Alligator mississippiensis: one gene and its partner. Each later gene encodes a partner of the first gene's protein in a complex. Links are inferred from orthologs where the notes say so. Each region holds a gene or a part of one and is shown on either strand. Other genes may lie near its edges.

Evidence for each region. The genes of interacting proteins can lie anywhere in the genome.
Region 2: the proteins of AMFR (region 1) and UBE2G2 are in contact, whole or in part, in an NMR structure (PDB 2LXP), measured with the Homo sapiens proteins. The link is inferred for Alligator mississippiensis from reciprocal best matches to the Homo sapiens genes AMFR and UBE2G2. Residues at the interface, in NP_001135.3 of Homo sapiens: Ser574, Ala575, Arg578, Gln579, Met581, Leu582, Arg585, Lys586, Leu589, Leu590, Ala593, Arg594, Arg596, Phe597, Leu598, Lys600; in NP_003334.2 of Homo sapiens: Tyr13, Leu16, Thr17, Pro20, Gly23, Ile24, Val25, Ala26, Gly27, Pro28, Met29, Asn30, Glu31, Glu38, Leu40, Met42, Glu45, Glu50, Phe51, Val53, Val159, Gln160, Leu163, Gly164, Leu165.

The regions. Positions count from the first base shown.
Region 1 is NC_081833.1:41,615,836-41,623,271, forward strand, and holds the start of AMFR (E3 ubiquitin-protein ligase AMFR), read left to right. Parts: upstream 1-4,342; 5' UTR 4,343-4,411; coding exon 4,412-4,651; intron 4,652-7,436. Other genes in the region: NUDT21 (cleavage and polyadenylation specificity factor subunit 5), read left to right, coding at 539-560. UniProt on the Homo sapiens protein: E3 ubiquitin-protein ligase that mediates the polyubiquitination of lysine and cysteine residues on target proteins, such as CD3D, CYP3A4, CFTR, INSIG1, SOAT2/ACAT2 and APOB for proteasomal degradation.
Region 2 is NC_081830.1:33,419,820-33,427,874, forward strand, and holds the start of UBE2G2 (ubiquitin-conjugating enzyme E2 G2), read right to left. Parts: upstream 3,200-8,055; 5' UTR 3,124-3,199; coding exon 3,081-3,123; intron 1-3,080. UniProt on the Homo sapiens protein: Accepts ubiquitin from the E1 complex and catalyzes its covalent attachment to other proteins. In vitro catalyzes 'Lys-48'-linked polyubiquitination. Involved in endoplasmic reticulum-associated degradation (ERAD).

The DNA.
Region 1 (7,436 bases):
GATGTAATCTGCTATTTCTGTAAGAGCCTAATCCAGAGCTAAATTTCTAAATTATATGTGCTTGCTCAAAAGATGCTAAAAACAAAGGCATCTGAAAACTGAGATAGATGCACACTACCTTCACCAGAATGTTAAGTTCACTAGTACCTGCATAACAATCTCTGAGCGCAGAGTAAACCTTGTTTTTTAAGAGCTGAACTCTAGTTTGTTCATATGCGACCCTGGAATGTTTTGTTGGCTAGCGATTTCCTGGTGGGCGCACAACTCATCTTGGCTTTTCTGTTATCTGAGAGGTTATTAAGGTTTGAGAAGAACCAGTTCTACAAGATTGCACCCTTCAGTATCCTGACTGAGCATAGTGCCTGACTGGTATAGACAATATTTGCTGGTTGTTGTGAAAAATGTCTTTGCTTTTTATTGGATGTATGTTTGTCAAGAGTAGGAATCGTGCATTGCATGCTCATTTTAACACCTCTTTAAATATCACCAATAAAAATAAATCTTAAATGGCACAATTGTATCTTCTTTTCTATTTTAGGTTCAATTTTATTTACAACTGAATTCCATTCTATCTGAAGAGTGTGGTAGAAGAAGCCGTCTCTGTGAGCACAGCTTTAAGATGTAGAGGAAAGAATACATGTGATGCAAGGATTTTTTTTATGTCTCTCTCTCTTTTCTTTCCCCCCCTGCTCTCCTCCCCTTTTTGCCCTCTCCCCTACCCACCTTTAATGTCACAACATTTTCTATTGTAAGAACAGAAGTGAATCTCGACTGTTTAGATAGTGGGATGGCAAATGTAATTCAGTGTTTTAATCCATTTTCATTGTAATATTCACCTGACTTTTTTTTTCTACAACATTAAACAAAAATGGATACGTCTCATTTGTTTAAGATGTCTTCCTGAAGGTGGGTGGGAGACTTAAATCTCTTGCTTTCTTGGCACAGGTTGAGAACAAGGGTAAATCTGGTTCTGCCAACCAATAAATCCCCACAAATGTTGGAGGGAGGGATGATCTTTCATGTTAACTATGCATTGCATCTTGCAGAGAGTCTGACAACTAAGGCTAGAATTCTGGATTGAGGTCTGAATGACTTAAAAACAATAACCCAGCAATTCATTTGTTTTGTAAGCGCAAATACTGAGTGGCAATGTGGACCAATGCAGAAAGCATTATCAATAAACTGGTGGAGTGACTGGACTGCTCATTACCAGGGATCTGGGTTTTCCGTTACCCGTGGAAAAATGGAGAAAAACGTGGATTTTTCTCCTTTACTCAAGAAAACTGTGGATTTCTCATTTTAAAGGAGAAACATGTAGATTTTGCACTTTTGCAAAGAGCTTTTTGCAGGCTGGCAGAGTTCCAGCCTGCAAGGGGCTGGGGTGGGGAGCAGGAGGAGGATGGTCAGGCAGGGGCCTCCATGTGCATGTATATGCACATGCCTGCCAGGCAGCCAGGACAGCAGCTCCTGCAGGTAAGTTTGGGTGGGGAGAGAGGGATTGAGGCCCCCATAGGGAGGGGGGCAGTGAGTTGGACAGGGCTGGGGCTGCTGCCTAGCCAGGTGGTATGTGGGGCCTGGGGCTGGAATGTGTGGCTGCAGGGCCTCAGCAGAGAGTGTGACCTGGGCTACAGGTGGCTCCTCCAGGGGGTGGGGGCGGTGGGGCTGGCTCCTTGCTGCTGCTTGTACTCCCAGGTTGGGCCTGTGTCCTGCTGATCTGTGCATATGGCAGGGGCGGGCTGCCTGCTGTGGGCTTTGGCTCCCCACTCTGCTGCCCTCCTCCTGGGGTTTCTGCAGCCCAGCAGGTGGGACCCAGTGGCAGGGCAGACTGGGGAAGCTCCTTGCTGCTGTGAGCCCCGGGTTCTGGTGAGGCATCCCCTGCCCGTTCAGCAGCAACAGGGACAGCAGCATGGGGTTGTAACCCCTCGCTGCTGCGGGGCGGTCAGAGGGCATGTCGCCAGGGCAGCATGGTGCTCACAGCGTGAAGGAGCTTCCCCATCCGGCCCTGCTTTGCCCTGCCATGCTGGGTCCCACCCCCTGGGCTGCAGAGGCCCCAGGGGAGGCAGCAGGGTGGGGATCTGAGCCTGTAGCAGGCAGCCTGCACCTGCCCCCTCATGGGCTCTGCTCCAGCCCCACTGCCTGCTGTGGGGAGGGGGAGCCAGGCTCTGCTATGCTGCGGCAGCTGGGGCTCAGGCACTGCTGTGGGGGATAGAGGGCTGTGGACCCAGGTCCCTTGGTCTAGCCCAGGCAGCTGGGGGCTCCCTCCAGCAGGGCTGGGGGGGCAGGAAGCTGTGGGGAGGAGTGATGGGCACCAGCAGGGCCCAGGTGACAGGGAGTGGGGCAGGGAGTGAGAGACACTGGCAAGGGGGCTGTGGGTGGGGAGTGAGGCCTGGACCTGTGTTCTGTGAGTTAAGGGGACAGGGGGAGCTCTGATTTTTTTCCATAATAAAAGATCCCAAATCGAATTCTAAATACCTATAAATTTTTGTATTTATCTTATTATAGTGATTGAAACATTGGTAGGCTTCCAATTTGCTTTAAAATTGTAAATATATCAATTAAACATTGTGTTCATCAGAGAATTTGTGACTTTTTTTTTTTTCTTTTTTTTAATTGGAAAACCAGGATCTGGGCTCATTACAGATCTCTGTAGATGTTGACCCAAAACTTTTAATACAAATGTCTTATATTAAATAATTTCTGCAGTCCAGGTATAATACAGAAATGCTCTAAAAAGCCCTAAAGAAGACTCTTTGATCTAGGAGGCCATGGCTATAGAACTGAATCTGGGTTAAGCCAGTACATTTAAGAAGTGTGCACACTTGTTACCTGGGACCCATTGCCTTATTGTACAGAACTCCTTTAGTTGTTTATTTGTTCTCTCACAATGGAGCATTCAGATTTGGAGATGTTTCCTCAACACATCTCCATCTATTGCAAGTATTAAACACATTAGAACTAGGGTTTGTTTTTTTTGTAGGGGTGCACTGATAAAGGATTTTCTTGGCTGATACTGATAGCCCACTAACCGGCCATATTGGCCGATACTGATTGGGGTGTCAAACTCATCTGGCCTCAGGCTGGATCAGGGTTGCTGGGCTGGTCTGCAGGCTGGATCAGGCCATGCTGGACCCAGTGGGCAGGGCCAGTCTGGTGGGATGCTGTACACAGTGTGCAGCTGGTCCAGCCCCATGGGCAGCATATGCTGGCTCCACTCTGGGGCTTCCTCTGCATGTGGCGCCTGGGGCTGGCACTGGGGATGCGCTGTATGGGGTGCTCTGTTGGATTAGCTCTGCATGCTGGTTCTGGGGCTGGCCCGGATGTCTGTGCACACGCACACTGGAATGATTTAGGGCTAGTCTGGAACCTGCCCATTCAGCATGCATTGTCGAGGGTGTGCAAAGTGCGCTCTGAAATGGGGCCAGCGTGTGCTGCACGTGGCATGTGGGGATAGACCAGCTGCACACATTGCATGTAGTACAGGAGCCTGGCATGGTGCACGTGCTGCAAGCAGTGTCCTGCTGGCCAAGCTCTGGTGTGGCTCCATGATTATTTCTTATGGGTAATCAGACATCACAATATGAAGTGCTGAAAAGTATACGGCAAATATTAAAAAAGCAAGAAATAAATGTATAGTACTGTTACATTTTAAAATTGCCAAGTACTAGTAAGTAAGGACAAAACCCAAGTGTGGGCTAATGGTTTTGTTAATATAAAACTTGGTTAACTGACTTGCTGGGTAACTTACTGTGCATGAGTCTGACAGCAACTCAGGGTGTAGGATACTGTTTTTTCCTGAAATGCAGTTGGCTCCTGCTGCTTTCAGAGGTCTCCTTACTGTCGGTAGAAATGGCCCCAAATACCCAGAGTATCCTAGACCTGAGTTCCTATTCCCACAAGCCCCCTCCCCAGCCCTTCTTGAAGCCACTTCATGCTTTTGACCTATAACAATATCCAAGTTGTCCGGGGACGGCTGTTGCCTCCCCTCCATCGTATAATCCTCTCCGAGGCTCAGACGAGCCGCCGGATTGCTGTGAGACTAAGGGAAGAGCTTTGTGAGAGCTGCCGAGCAGGCGCTTTCCCGGGCAGCGCCGAGTTACAGGAGGCGAGGTGGAGGGAGGCTTAGGGAAAAAAGTTTTTACAGCGGCAGGGTCTGGTCCTCGCTGGGCCGGGCAGCCCGGAGCCAGCTGAAAGGCCCGGCTCGCAGAGGGAGATCTCCCGGAGATCAGCCGGGCTCGGCCTTGGCCTCCCAATGTCCGCTCTGTCTGCGCCGGCCTCAGCCGCTTCGCCGCCCAGCCCAGCTCCGCCCCTCGGGCCGATGGCCCCGCCCCCCGGCCGCGGCGGCGCTCGGGAGCGGGGACCGCGCAGGCCGCTGGGAGGTGGCGGGGCCTAGCTGGGCTCAGACGCGATCGCTATGCCGCTGTTGTTCCTGGAGCGTTTCCCCTGGCCCAGCCTGCGCACGTACGCGGGGCTCAGCGCCCTGGCGCTGCTCGGCTGCGTCCTCAGCGCCTACCGCGCCCTCAGCCAGGCCCCTGCCGCCTGGCCTGGGCCCGAGCCCCAGCCCCAACCTGAGCCACAGCCCAGCCCGAGCCGTGCCGGGCCGCTGCCGCTGGACGTCGCCTACTATCTGCTGTCAGACAGCCTTTGCGTCTGGGTGAGCACGGACACCGGCGGCTGCACAGGCCCCTGGGCCCGGGGGGCTTCTGTCTGGGCAAGAGGGGCGGAGGCTGGGGCCGGCCGCTTCAGCAGGGGGCGCAGGGCTGGGCTGGGCCTTTGCTGCTCGTGTGGGAGCCGGGAGCAGGGCTGCCCCGTTCCCACCAGCGCGGGCAGGTTTGCCTCAGGCCTGCACAGGCCCTGGGAGACCTCAGCCCTGCTGCCCTTGCAGGCCTGCGTGAAGGCTGCCCAGACTGGCCACAGGGTTGTTCCCTGCTTTCAGGGAGCCAGGGGGTGCCTCTGCCTGCAGGGACTTTGTGTGTTGTGAGGATTACTTTGCACCTGTGGCTGGTCTGAATTTATTGCGCGGTTCACCAATGGATTCATGGCATATGTAAGGCAGGGGGTCCCTGCCAAGCATTGCATCAATCATGCAATTCATTGGTTAAATTGCACAATCATTGCAGATTGATCTCACTTGTAAAGTAATTCTCACACCATACAAATGTTCCCCCACCTAGAAAGACCCCACCAGCTCCCAAGGGAGTGCTTGAAAATGTGTAACCCTACAGTTGGTTTCTGTCCAGTTTTCATAAGAAGGTGCGGCAAGGCCTTGAAGGCAGCTTGGTACCTACCTGTGGGGGGGTTCAGAGGAATGTTTGAGGCCTTTGCTTTTCAGAAATAGGTTCTTGTATAGGTATGGGCTGAGCATCTCCTAGGACATCCCCAAAACACGACTAGGGTGGAGCTGGGGATAAGCAATTTGTTCTAAATGAATGTTCAGATTGGGGTCTGTATCACAGGGTCACAGATGACCAGTCCTCAAACATTTCAAGTGATATTTGTAGTAAAGTAATACAAGTTCTTCTATGGGTGATCCAATGTACACAGTTTTTACTGTCTAGGAAACCGTTCTGGTGGAGGGAAGGAACAATGTTGGCAACTTGTGAAAGGCAGGGGTGACTCCTTTGTGGTCTCTGGGGTTGGTGGGGTGAGGCACTTTAATTAGAGTGGCTCTCGGGAGCTGCTCTAATAAAAATACTTCCAATGTCTCGTGTATTCAGTGTCCCGTGCTTCAACGTGGCAGCGAGGATGCTTTAACTAAAACACGTTTGACAAGCTTTAGTTAAAGCACTGCTGTTTTGAAATGCAGAGACCCTGAATACACATGACACTTAGGCTGCTGGGGTGTTCTAATTGGAGCACTCCAGCAGACTTGGTGTCACATATATGCAGCTTCCCTGTGTTTCAAAATGGCAATGGGGCACTTTAACTAAAGCTCAAGTGAGCAGAATCAATTTGATAATCAAGTCTGCTACAATGCATTCTAATTAGAGCATGTTGGAGCAGGCTTTGGGCATGTGTGTAGGTGCCCTCAGGGAAAGGAAAGTAAAAGGCAAGGGAAAGGATAAGGATCCTCTGACAGGGCAAGACTTACGTTGCATTAGTATAAATGAACCAGATTTAGAAAAAACAACCCCAAAATGGTCATTTTCCTTGAGTCCACTAAAATAGTAATATTTGAACTGGCTTCCGTATTTAATGTTCATTTGTACTAGAGACTCAAATGTAGTGTACCTTTGTAATTAGCTTGTTAAATTGTCTTCCTCTTAGGTGACATAATTTTAGAATGTCATTATTTAAAATAATAGGGATTCTGTGAACTCAAAACATAATGGTCATGGTGCCTGTAACACTTTGGGATTAGGCAGAAGGCTACTCAGAATATTAAACATGCTACTCTGTAGGAAGTATTTGTAAGTGAGTCCTGTGTTTGAAACCACATTGTAAAAGTTGTGAAAACAAGGTCTTACAAAATCTAACACCAATAGAAATGTTTACACAAATAGTGCAAGTGATCAATTATAACCCTTGTAGTATTTCTTTGTAAAAATGTCATGACATGCAATTCCTGTGTGTTTAATGTGCTGGGGTTTTGTTCTATAGTTGCCTAAATAATTTTTTTTTTAAAGTAAATCCTCTGTTGTGTTTCACATCAAAACATGCAATCTTATTACCTGCAAGTGGAAATAACAGTTATTGGGTGAAACTTACTTTATTTATTTTAATGATCTCATGAAATGCAAACTCAACAAAGAACGTGATACTTCAATTAGATTATTTTTTTTTCATGTTTGATAATGTAATATAAATATAATAATAGAATATAAAAACCCAGGGTATGTTTATTTACAATATATGATTTTTAAGTTCGTTATGGATAATTTTACCAAAGTACCCAAGGGGCTGAGCCTCCTGAGTCCGATTTTTGAAATGGGGCTTCATCTGTTTAAGAGTCCTTCAAAAATTTACAATGTCCCTTGAAAGTGCATTTTGCTGGAATATAATCTCTTGTCACATTTTTCCTCATGTATTTTGATGTGCATAATTCAAAAGGTTTTGCTCATCAAAAGTATGAGATAAGTTTAAACAATTCAGCATTTTCTGTTTTTGATGGCTTTAGTTTAAAATGACTGCCAAGAGCTGTAATCCAAGAGAGAATTGATGCAGTTGCAGAAAGTATATAACTTATTGATTAGATTTTGAGACCTGATATGAATGATGTCCTTGTAATATGTTGAAACTGGAATTTTCTAACTTTGTATTAAGCAATCTAACAGTGAAGGTAGACTGCAAGAACTAAGAAACCTTAGCAGCGGGAAACGTAGAGATTAATTCTGTAGTTACTTTAAGAAATAACAAACCTGTAGTGAGGTGAATGTGTTTTGGCTTTGGACATACACAAACTGTCTCAGCTACTGTAAAGTGGCTTTTGGAAAATTCAA
Region 2 (8,055 bases), on another chromosome or scaffold:
GTAAGATAGAAATGTGACTTCTACAGAGTACTATGACTGTGCATTTGCTTATAATACTTCAGCATACAGCAAAAAAGAAAGGAAGAGAAATTAGGATTTAGATTTGTTTCTGCTTTTGGTAACAAACATGTAAGAGACAGCCTATTAGTACAATTATGTCTCCCTGATGGAGAAAACGCATCAGACAGTTTATAATTTACCTATAAATACTTATCTTCACAGACACATGGTTTTGACTACAGTAAGCAAAGAACTCCATGCCTTTTAGAATGGAGGATATTCCAGAGAGACATGAAAGCTGAGATTCAGCATACCAAACTTTCCAGCTGGAGTCTCCAGAGGTAACATTACTCCATGGTATATTAATATTGCCAATGATGTTAACTGTTCAGAAGACTACATTCTATTATAGTTTGCCAGTTTCATCTCAAGGGAAACCCAGAACTAGAACAGGAGATGATGCTACTACAATCCAATCAGGACCTGCTGCAGAGCTGTGGAATTCATATAATGCCTGGCAGTATTGTTGTTCTGCTCAATATTATTATTGTTGTTCTGCTCAATTTTTAAGATTACTAAGCCCACCGTTTCAAGAACAGAGCATTTAGGCAAACAACTAAAACCAGGATCAGCAGCTTTGTCCAACAGAAATTTGCTATGTCCTTTCAACTGGGAATGTTTCCTTTAAAAAAAAAAACAAAAACAAAAACAAAAAAAAACTGTTGAGACTTCCAATTGCAAGCAGATGGTAATTTTTTTTTTAAATCTGCGCTTCTGAAAGGTGATAGAGAACTTTCATTTGTAGGACTGTCAAGAGCATCAAAAGAAGTTGCAGCATACCTTGCTGTTAACCTGCTGCTAATGTGCAGTTGCACAAATAGCTTACTCTTCATGCCCTATCAATCTTCACACACACTGTGAAAACACACAAGGGCCTATATAAATTCCTGCATCCCATCTCGGGTATAGTTATTCACAAGAAATTAAATGGATTGATGCGACCAAATGGCATCAACCTCCCAATTATCTAAGTATTTCCTATCTGGACCAAGCAAGACACTGCCAAGGTTTCTTTGTTTTACTGAAGAACAGGTCCTGAAGCTGCTTACTGGCTCATTCTGGAAGCAGTGATACTTCTATTTATCATACTCATTTCGTCACGGTACAGCAATTCTCAACCAGAGCGTCAGGACACCCTCAGTGCTCCTCTCTGCCTTGCTGCTGCCCTGCCCATCACTGCCAAGAGGTAAGTACTGTAATACATTAGTTTTTTTAAATGGGGTGCTGCTCAATTCACGAAAGCTATGCCTGAAATCTAACAAGGAGTCCCTTGAATCCAAAACTGTTGAGAACCACAGGTTTAGGAAAATGAGCATGTACTCAACAATCAGAAGACCTGTAACTCCACCATATATAAGCAGAAAGAGGTAGCTCGCTGTTAGTCTGCAGTCACTCAGAACACAGGGTAGAAATGCACCTTTATAGACTAACTCAACAAGATAGATGCACATGCAGCACAAGCTTTTGTGAACCAAAGTTTACTTCATCAGATGCTGTCATTTGAGGAAGTGAACTTTAGTTCACAAAAGCTTTGCTCTCTCTCTCTATAGATCTTGTTTAATTAGTCTGGGGTGCTCAACCTGCAGCCCACAAGCCAAATGTGGCCCGTGGGGCTTGCCAGGGGTTGGAAAATTTGGCAGCGGGGGAACAGTGGCAGTTAATATGGCCACCCTTCCTCACTGCCAAATTCCTAAACCCCAAGCACCATGCAGCAGGTTGGGGCCAGGCCACACTGCTCCTTTCTCCTTGGCTGCTGGATCAGGGTTGGGCCATGTCCCCTCCTCCCTGCAGCAACATCAGGTGCCAAGTACCCTTCTCCCGCTCTGCAGAGCCAGATGGGTTCCCACTGCAACTGCCCCAGGTACCAGATCAGGACCATAGACCATCCACTGCCCATCTGGCCCATCAGCCACAGAGGTTGAGCAGCAGTGAGTTAGTATATTAAAGGTGCTTATCTCCCCTGCCTTCTGTCCAACATCTATCCAACAGCTGCAGCAAGTGACCTTTTCTCCTTTGAGGAAAGGGTCCTTTCCTTTTCCATGTCACATATAACTAAGAAAATTAAGAACGGGAATACCACAGGCCCAGCAACAACATATATTGCAAGCCATGCAGGTCGAGCCTGCTGTCCCAACTTAGAAACAAGAAAAAACACAGAGCAACGTCTCTGCGGGCCATCTGCATCAGCCTGGCTTTATTCAGACATGCATTTAGAGACCTGCCAATGGTGGGATCGACACAGCACTTTTATGCATTGTGGCTGGGAGCAACAAAGCAGCCGTGAGGGCAGGGTGAAGCAAAGCAACCTGGGGGGAGGCTTCCTCTGCTGGGATGCCTGCACTGCCTGCCGGTACTGTCTCCCTCTCTGGCTGCTTTCAAAGGAGGGCAGGGGGTGATGAACGTTTTGAAGTCTTGGTCCAAAACTGCGCTGATCTCACTTGCACTTGGCTTTGCGGCTCTCGGTTTTCTTTAACAGCAGCGCTGCTTGGACAGCAAGCGGGACCCTGCCCTGAGCAATGATGTCTCCCCAGCAGTGACTCTAGGTTGCGGCCGGCCGGCTGGCTGGGGGTGGCGGGGACGATGCACGTTTCTTGTTGCCGCAGGCAGCGCTCCTCGCCGATGCCAGCCGTCAGGCCTCCACTGCTGAGGCCAAACGGCCCGGTGCCCAGCTCCACTCTCCAGAAATGCCCTGGCGAGGTCCACGGGTTGCGCAGGGCCTACGTGGGCCTGGGTTTGGACCTCGCCTCCCGGGCAGCCACAACGACGTGGACAGCAGCCGGGTGCTGCGGGCGCCCCACGCCCGAGGGGATGGGGGGTGACAGCCCGCAGGGAAGCCCCTTTCACCGTGCTTCCCCCGCCCCACCACCGCCTGGGGAAGCCACGCCCACACGTCGCCGAGAAATACGGTAAGGCTGCGGGAGGCGAGAAGCGAGGGGCGCGCGTCTGCCAGAAATAGGTAGGCTGAAGGCCTCGGGGCCCAAGACCCCCCGGGGTACCGCCCGCACCCGCCGCTCACTCACGCTTGTACTCGGCCATGAGCCGCTTCAGCGCCGTGCCCGCCATGACCACCCGCGACCCCGCCGCCGCAGGGGGCCGAGCCGGCCGCCTCAGCGCTTCCGGGTTCAGCCGACCGCCATAGAGAGCGCGCGCGGCGGTAGCTAGCCAGGCCGCCGCGCGAGCCACCCGTCTCTATGGCAGTCCGCCGGACGCGGGGTGGGAGGGGCGGTGGGGTGCTGGCCTGAGGCGCTGTGATGTCAGTGCCTGCGGCCAGGGGCGGGGCCGGTGGGGTTTCCCAGCGGTTTGCAAGAGCCCGGTTGCTGTGGTCTCAAGACACGAGTGGATGCTCAGCACCGGGATTTTCCAAGGGGGCCTAAGAGGTTGAGAAGGGCTGTGACAGACTGGCTCGCTAGGCAGCAGCCTGCCAGGTGCTGCGTGTGGCCCTGCAGACAGTACTACACAGAAAGGAATAGAGCAGGGGTGTCAAAGATCCAGACTGCCCCCGGGACGGACCCGACCTCGTGCGCCTCGTGTGGCATGGGCCAGTCAGTGCTGGCCCGAGGCACGGAGCCGGTCTGATGCTGTGCGTGCAGCGGCTGGAGCTGGACCCGGTGCCACGGGCATTGCAGGAAGCACGGGGTGGGCTGGAGGGAGCACTGTGAGGTGTCCGTACACTGGCTCTAGTGCCTGGGGCCAGTCTGTGGGCCTGATGCAGCTTGCAGAGCAACCCCATGCCCTTCATTCAGCCCATGGGGCCGGAAGAGTTCAACACCCCTGGAATACAGTAATCTATATACAAAGGATAAGGAAAAGGGGAGGAAGAGCATTAAAAAAAAAATTGTAAGTGACCACATCAGTCATTTGCTTTGACCGGATTCTTTGAGCTAGGTTTTAGTCAGGGAGATGCACTTTCTTGTCAGTAACAAACTTTGAGATGACAAAAAAATATATGCCACCTCAAACCTCTCCTCCTGTTGCCCTGATGAAAGATGGCAATTCCACTCAAATCCTTCTTCTGTAAGCCCTGCCCATGTGGTGGTATCCAGCTAATGCCAGCCTCAGGTGATGGCAGTAAAGATAGCTAAGGCCTGGTCTGCTGGAAAAACTTCAAGAGCATCTAAATTCAACCCTGCTTTTCCACTTCTCTGAGCTTTACTGCAGCCCACCTTCAATGGAAGGCATAGGTAGACAGGGCCATGACTTCTGACTGCCACAGTCCCTTCAGCTGCTGGTGCCTTCCTGCGGGCCACTTTATGCTGTAGCAGCACAGCATGCGCATGGGAACCACGTGAATGTTTTCTCGGCAGTGTTGCAAGCAGACAGTATTTGGCAGCAGCAACACGTACATGCAGACGAGGCCTAAGCCAAAGGAGGCATGCATTTCCCTGCTTACATTTGGTTCCAGTTCGTTTTGGTGTATGTGCACTTAACTGGGGAGGGGAGAGAGGTGGTTATTCATGGGCTGGGGAGGGCAGAAGTATGAAAGGAGCATACAAGTGAAGCAGCTGCAGTAAGAACGTACGTGGATGGACCACAATGAGAATGCAGGGAAGAGCCTACAGCCAAGAGAAAAGCTGGACTGATTCTCTTTCCCAAAAGCCCTCTGTACTGAGGCTCAGCATGGAGCTCATCACTTTCACAACTTGTTTGCTCCTAGTTCTGAATAACAGACATGGTGTGAGGGAGCCCAAAGCACAGGGGTCTGTGCAAGGCAAGTGTCACAAGGCAGGTGGGTAAAGTTAAGGTGTCAGACACTGGAAGGGAGTCACGCTGTTAGAGGGGACTGGGATACCACCTGAGCCTGGCAGGGGAGCCATGTCCATGGCCACAAGGTCATAGTTACAGCTGGTGGCTCTGTGCACCACAGCAGAATTCAACCCCAGATCCTGACAAACTACCAAGAAGGGGACACTTAAGAGCCAATCAAGAGAAAAGCCACAGAATCTCCAGTTACATGGAAGCAGTGTCTCAAATTACAGTACTTCCACATCTTATCCACAGGTGAGGCAGGGGAGGTATTTTACTTTTGGCAACTGTAGCAACACTAATTTTTGCACCTTTTAGGCCTGGAACATTCAGGGGTGACAACAGCAGTTTGCTGTGAGGCACTGAGGTGTGAAGGTGTATCACTTGGCAAACTTGTATCACTTTTATTTGCTCTGCAATTCTAGGTTTTGCTCCTGCAGTTTCTTCACAACTGAGACCCCCTTTTTTTACTCCTTTGCTGATGCAGTTTTGAGTACTGATAAACCGAGAGAAGTTTCACAGCCTTTTTTTAACAGTATTTCTAACAGTAGCTCACATTTCCAAAGCATCTTCCACCCAAAGGATTCCAAACTGCTTAGGCAGACACTAATTGCAATGATAGGTTGCAGCAGCAGCAGTCAAAATGGCCGAAAATACTCAGGAACAAAACAGCTCACACCATGAGGCATCTGTCTGGGATGGTTTGGAGCCAGCAAATCCTGCATCTGTGTAAGGGCAAACCTGTGATTCCATGCATGAGCAGATGTAGTATCCCATTTATTTACAGGACTGATAAAATACTCTAATCCAGTGGGGGTCAATCTTTTTGGCAGGTCCACCACAAACTAGGCCCACACCCTTCCTGAGTGTCCCCCCCCACTTCCTGCTTTCTGCTCACTGCATGATTTGCTGCTTCGCTTTCTACTTCCTGGCCTGTGCTCTTTGCCCCATCTGCTGCTCTGTTTTCTGCTCCCTGCCCTATCTGCCACTGTGCTGCTTGTCTCTTCCTAAGTCTGCCATGTGGCACGCACAAAAGCTGCCTGTGCCTCTTTAGAGCAGGGGTGGCCAAACTGTGCCATATCTGCTTTCCTTGAAATACAGCACCCAGAATTTCACTCTAGTACTTGTTTCCAGCTCAGCAACCAGCAGTTGAATTAGTCATAAAGGAGTTGAGTGCTGTAGAATCCATGCCCACCTTTGGTTACTTGCATCAATGGCTAACCAATTTTGAAAAACATGGGTTTTCTAACTTAATCTAGCTTCTGCTTTCAGTCTGACTTGCTTTGGGTGCAGACATAGCAACTGAAACGTGTTTGGAAATGTTTCACAAACGAAACATTTAAGCCTGTGCAGTTCCCAACAGGAATGTTTCAAAACACTGCAGCGGCCTATTGCTTACCTCTACTCTTGGCTCCCCCACTCCTCAAAGGAAAACAGGTAGAGGACAGAGATGAGCTGAAGAGAAGTAAGTGGGGGCTTCCTGGTCCCATCAAAGAAAGTCTCACTTAGCTGTAGGTACCCTTCAGCTCTCCCTTCCCCCCCTCAGCAGAGTAGGTGTAGAGGGGACTGGGGCCAGAGTCCAGCTCTGGGCAACACCTCCCTCCCCAAGTCGGGGTGAGCGTGCCTGGCTCTGGGAGAGATGGGGGTCCCAACAGAGACCCAGCACAACCCTGACCTGGAGTAGGGCTAGTGGATAGCTGGCTGGCAGAATGACTACCCATTCTCCCTCCCTTCTCTATGAAACCAGAACCAAAAAATGAAATGCTCCAAAACAGTACCTTATATAAAGAGCTACTTTTGAAGCTTTTCAGCCACTTTTGGATCTGGTCATTTGAAATATTTCAGAGGTATTTGAAATGTTTTATGTCTGTCCACGCCTTTCCTGTCCTTGCTTTTTGATTGAGAAAATTTCCCCCCCCCTCTAGTTCCTTTGTAGTGTGTGAAGCTGATGGTTAGCCAAAAACAGCCTAAGATCTCACTAAAAACTTTCAGTGATTTTTTTTTGGTTACTGTACACATGCAGACAGAAGCTTCAGAGATGTAATCTAGTTTGTGGATTTAAGACAGGAGCACAGGTGGGTGGAACCTTAACCATAGTCAATAAGCCTGAAAAAAAGCATTGGAGATGGGGATGGAAAGGAAACCTAACTATCCCAGCAGTGAGCAGTATTTTCTCAGGGAAGAGGAAAAAACAAGCTCCCTCTTCTCATTACCATGTTTTGTATTCTCCTGCAGCTCTCAACGGTGGAAGCTGCAGGGTAAATTCCCTGCTTCGGCCATATGATGAAGGAAGCTAGGTGAGCTGGATTCTAGCCTGCCCATCCAGTGGGGAGCACTTTGGGGTGCTTAATGTGGGCAGGTTTTCCTGTAAATAGTACTTGTAAATAATTCTCTGTGTAGGAGGTCTAGATGCCCCTGTTTCACCTCAGGGGCAGATGGCAGTCTAGGCCTGACAACAGGCCAGAGATTGCTCTTTCACCAGTTACTCGTAGCATGTTTCACTGTACTGGGTGAGTTGTTGTCCCCAGGTTAAGACTATAGTTTTGTTACAGTTTGGTTGCAAATTTGGCTGACTGGGCTTGAGGAGAATGAGAGAAGCTCCAAGAGAGCTGGGGAACAGCAGAAGGTGCCAGTGTGGACAGAAAGTCCCAAGGAAGACAAAGTAAAGTCTGAATGAGGACAGAGGGAACTGGAATGACACAATAAAGACTGGTTGTTTTGAAGCAGCCTGCTGTGCTGCTTGAGACATCATCACTCTGATAACTGTCTTCTAAAGAAGAAAATACCACCCCCCACTCCTTCCCCAGGAGCTGATTGAAAAGGAGCTCCCATGAGGGTGCTACAGATCACTGGGGAAGCCAGGGACTAAAAAGAGCCACAGCCAGAGGCTGCCCCTCCTGCAGCCATGCTGGGGCTGGCTGCAGGGCATCTTCTGAAGAAAGGGAAACCAAATAAGGGTGCTTCTTAGGGAAGTCTAGAGGGAGAGCTTTCCCCTTCCTCTCCAAAAGGGGCAGGGTGAGCCTTTCCTTCCTTTTCTGTGACAAGCCAACTAAGAGGCCAACCAGTTCAGAGTGAAGGAGGAGAAAAGAGAAACCACTGCAGGGCAGGCCCATTTTAAGCATATTAAAGACTATTTTTTCTTCTAAAGAGCCAAATGCCCACCACCCTTAGCACTATAAGCTCTTTTTCTGAAGATATATGGCACAATGAAGTGAGGCATATGAAGCACTGAGCAGAAAACACAAAAGCAGA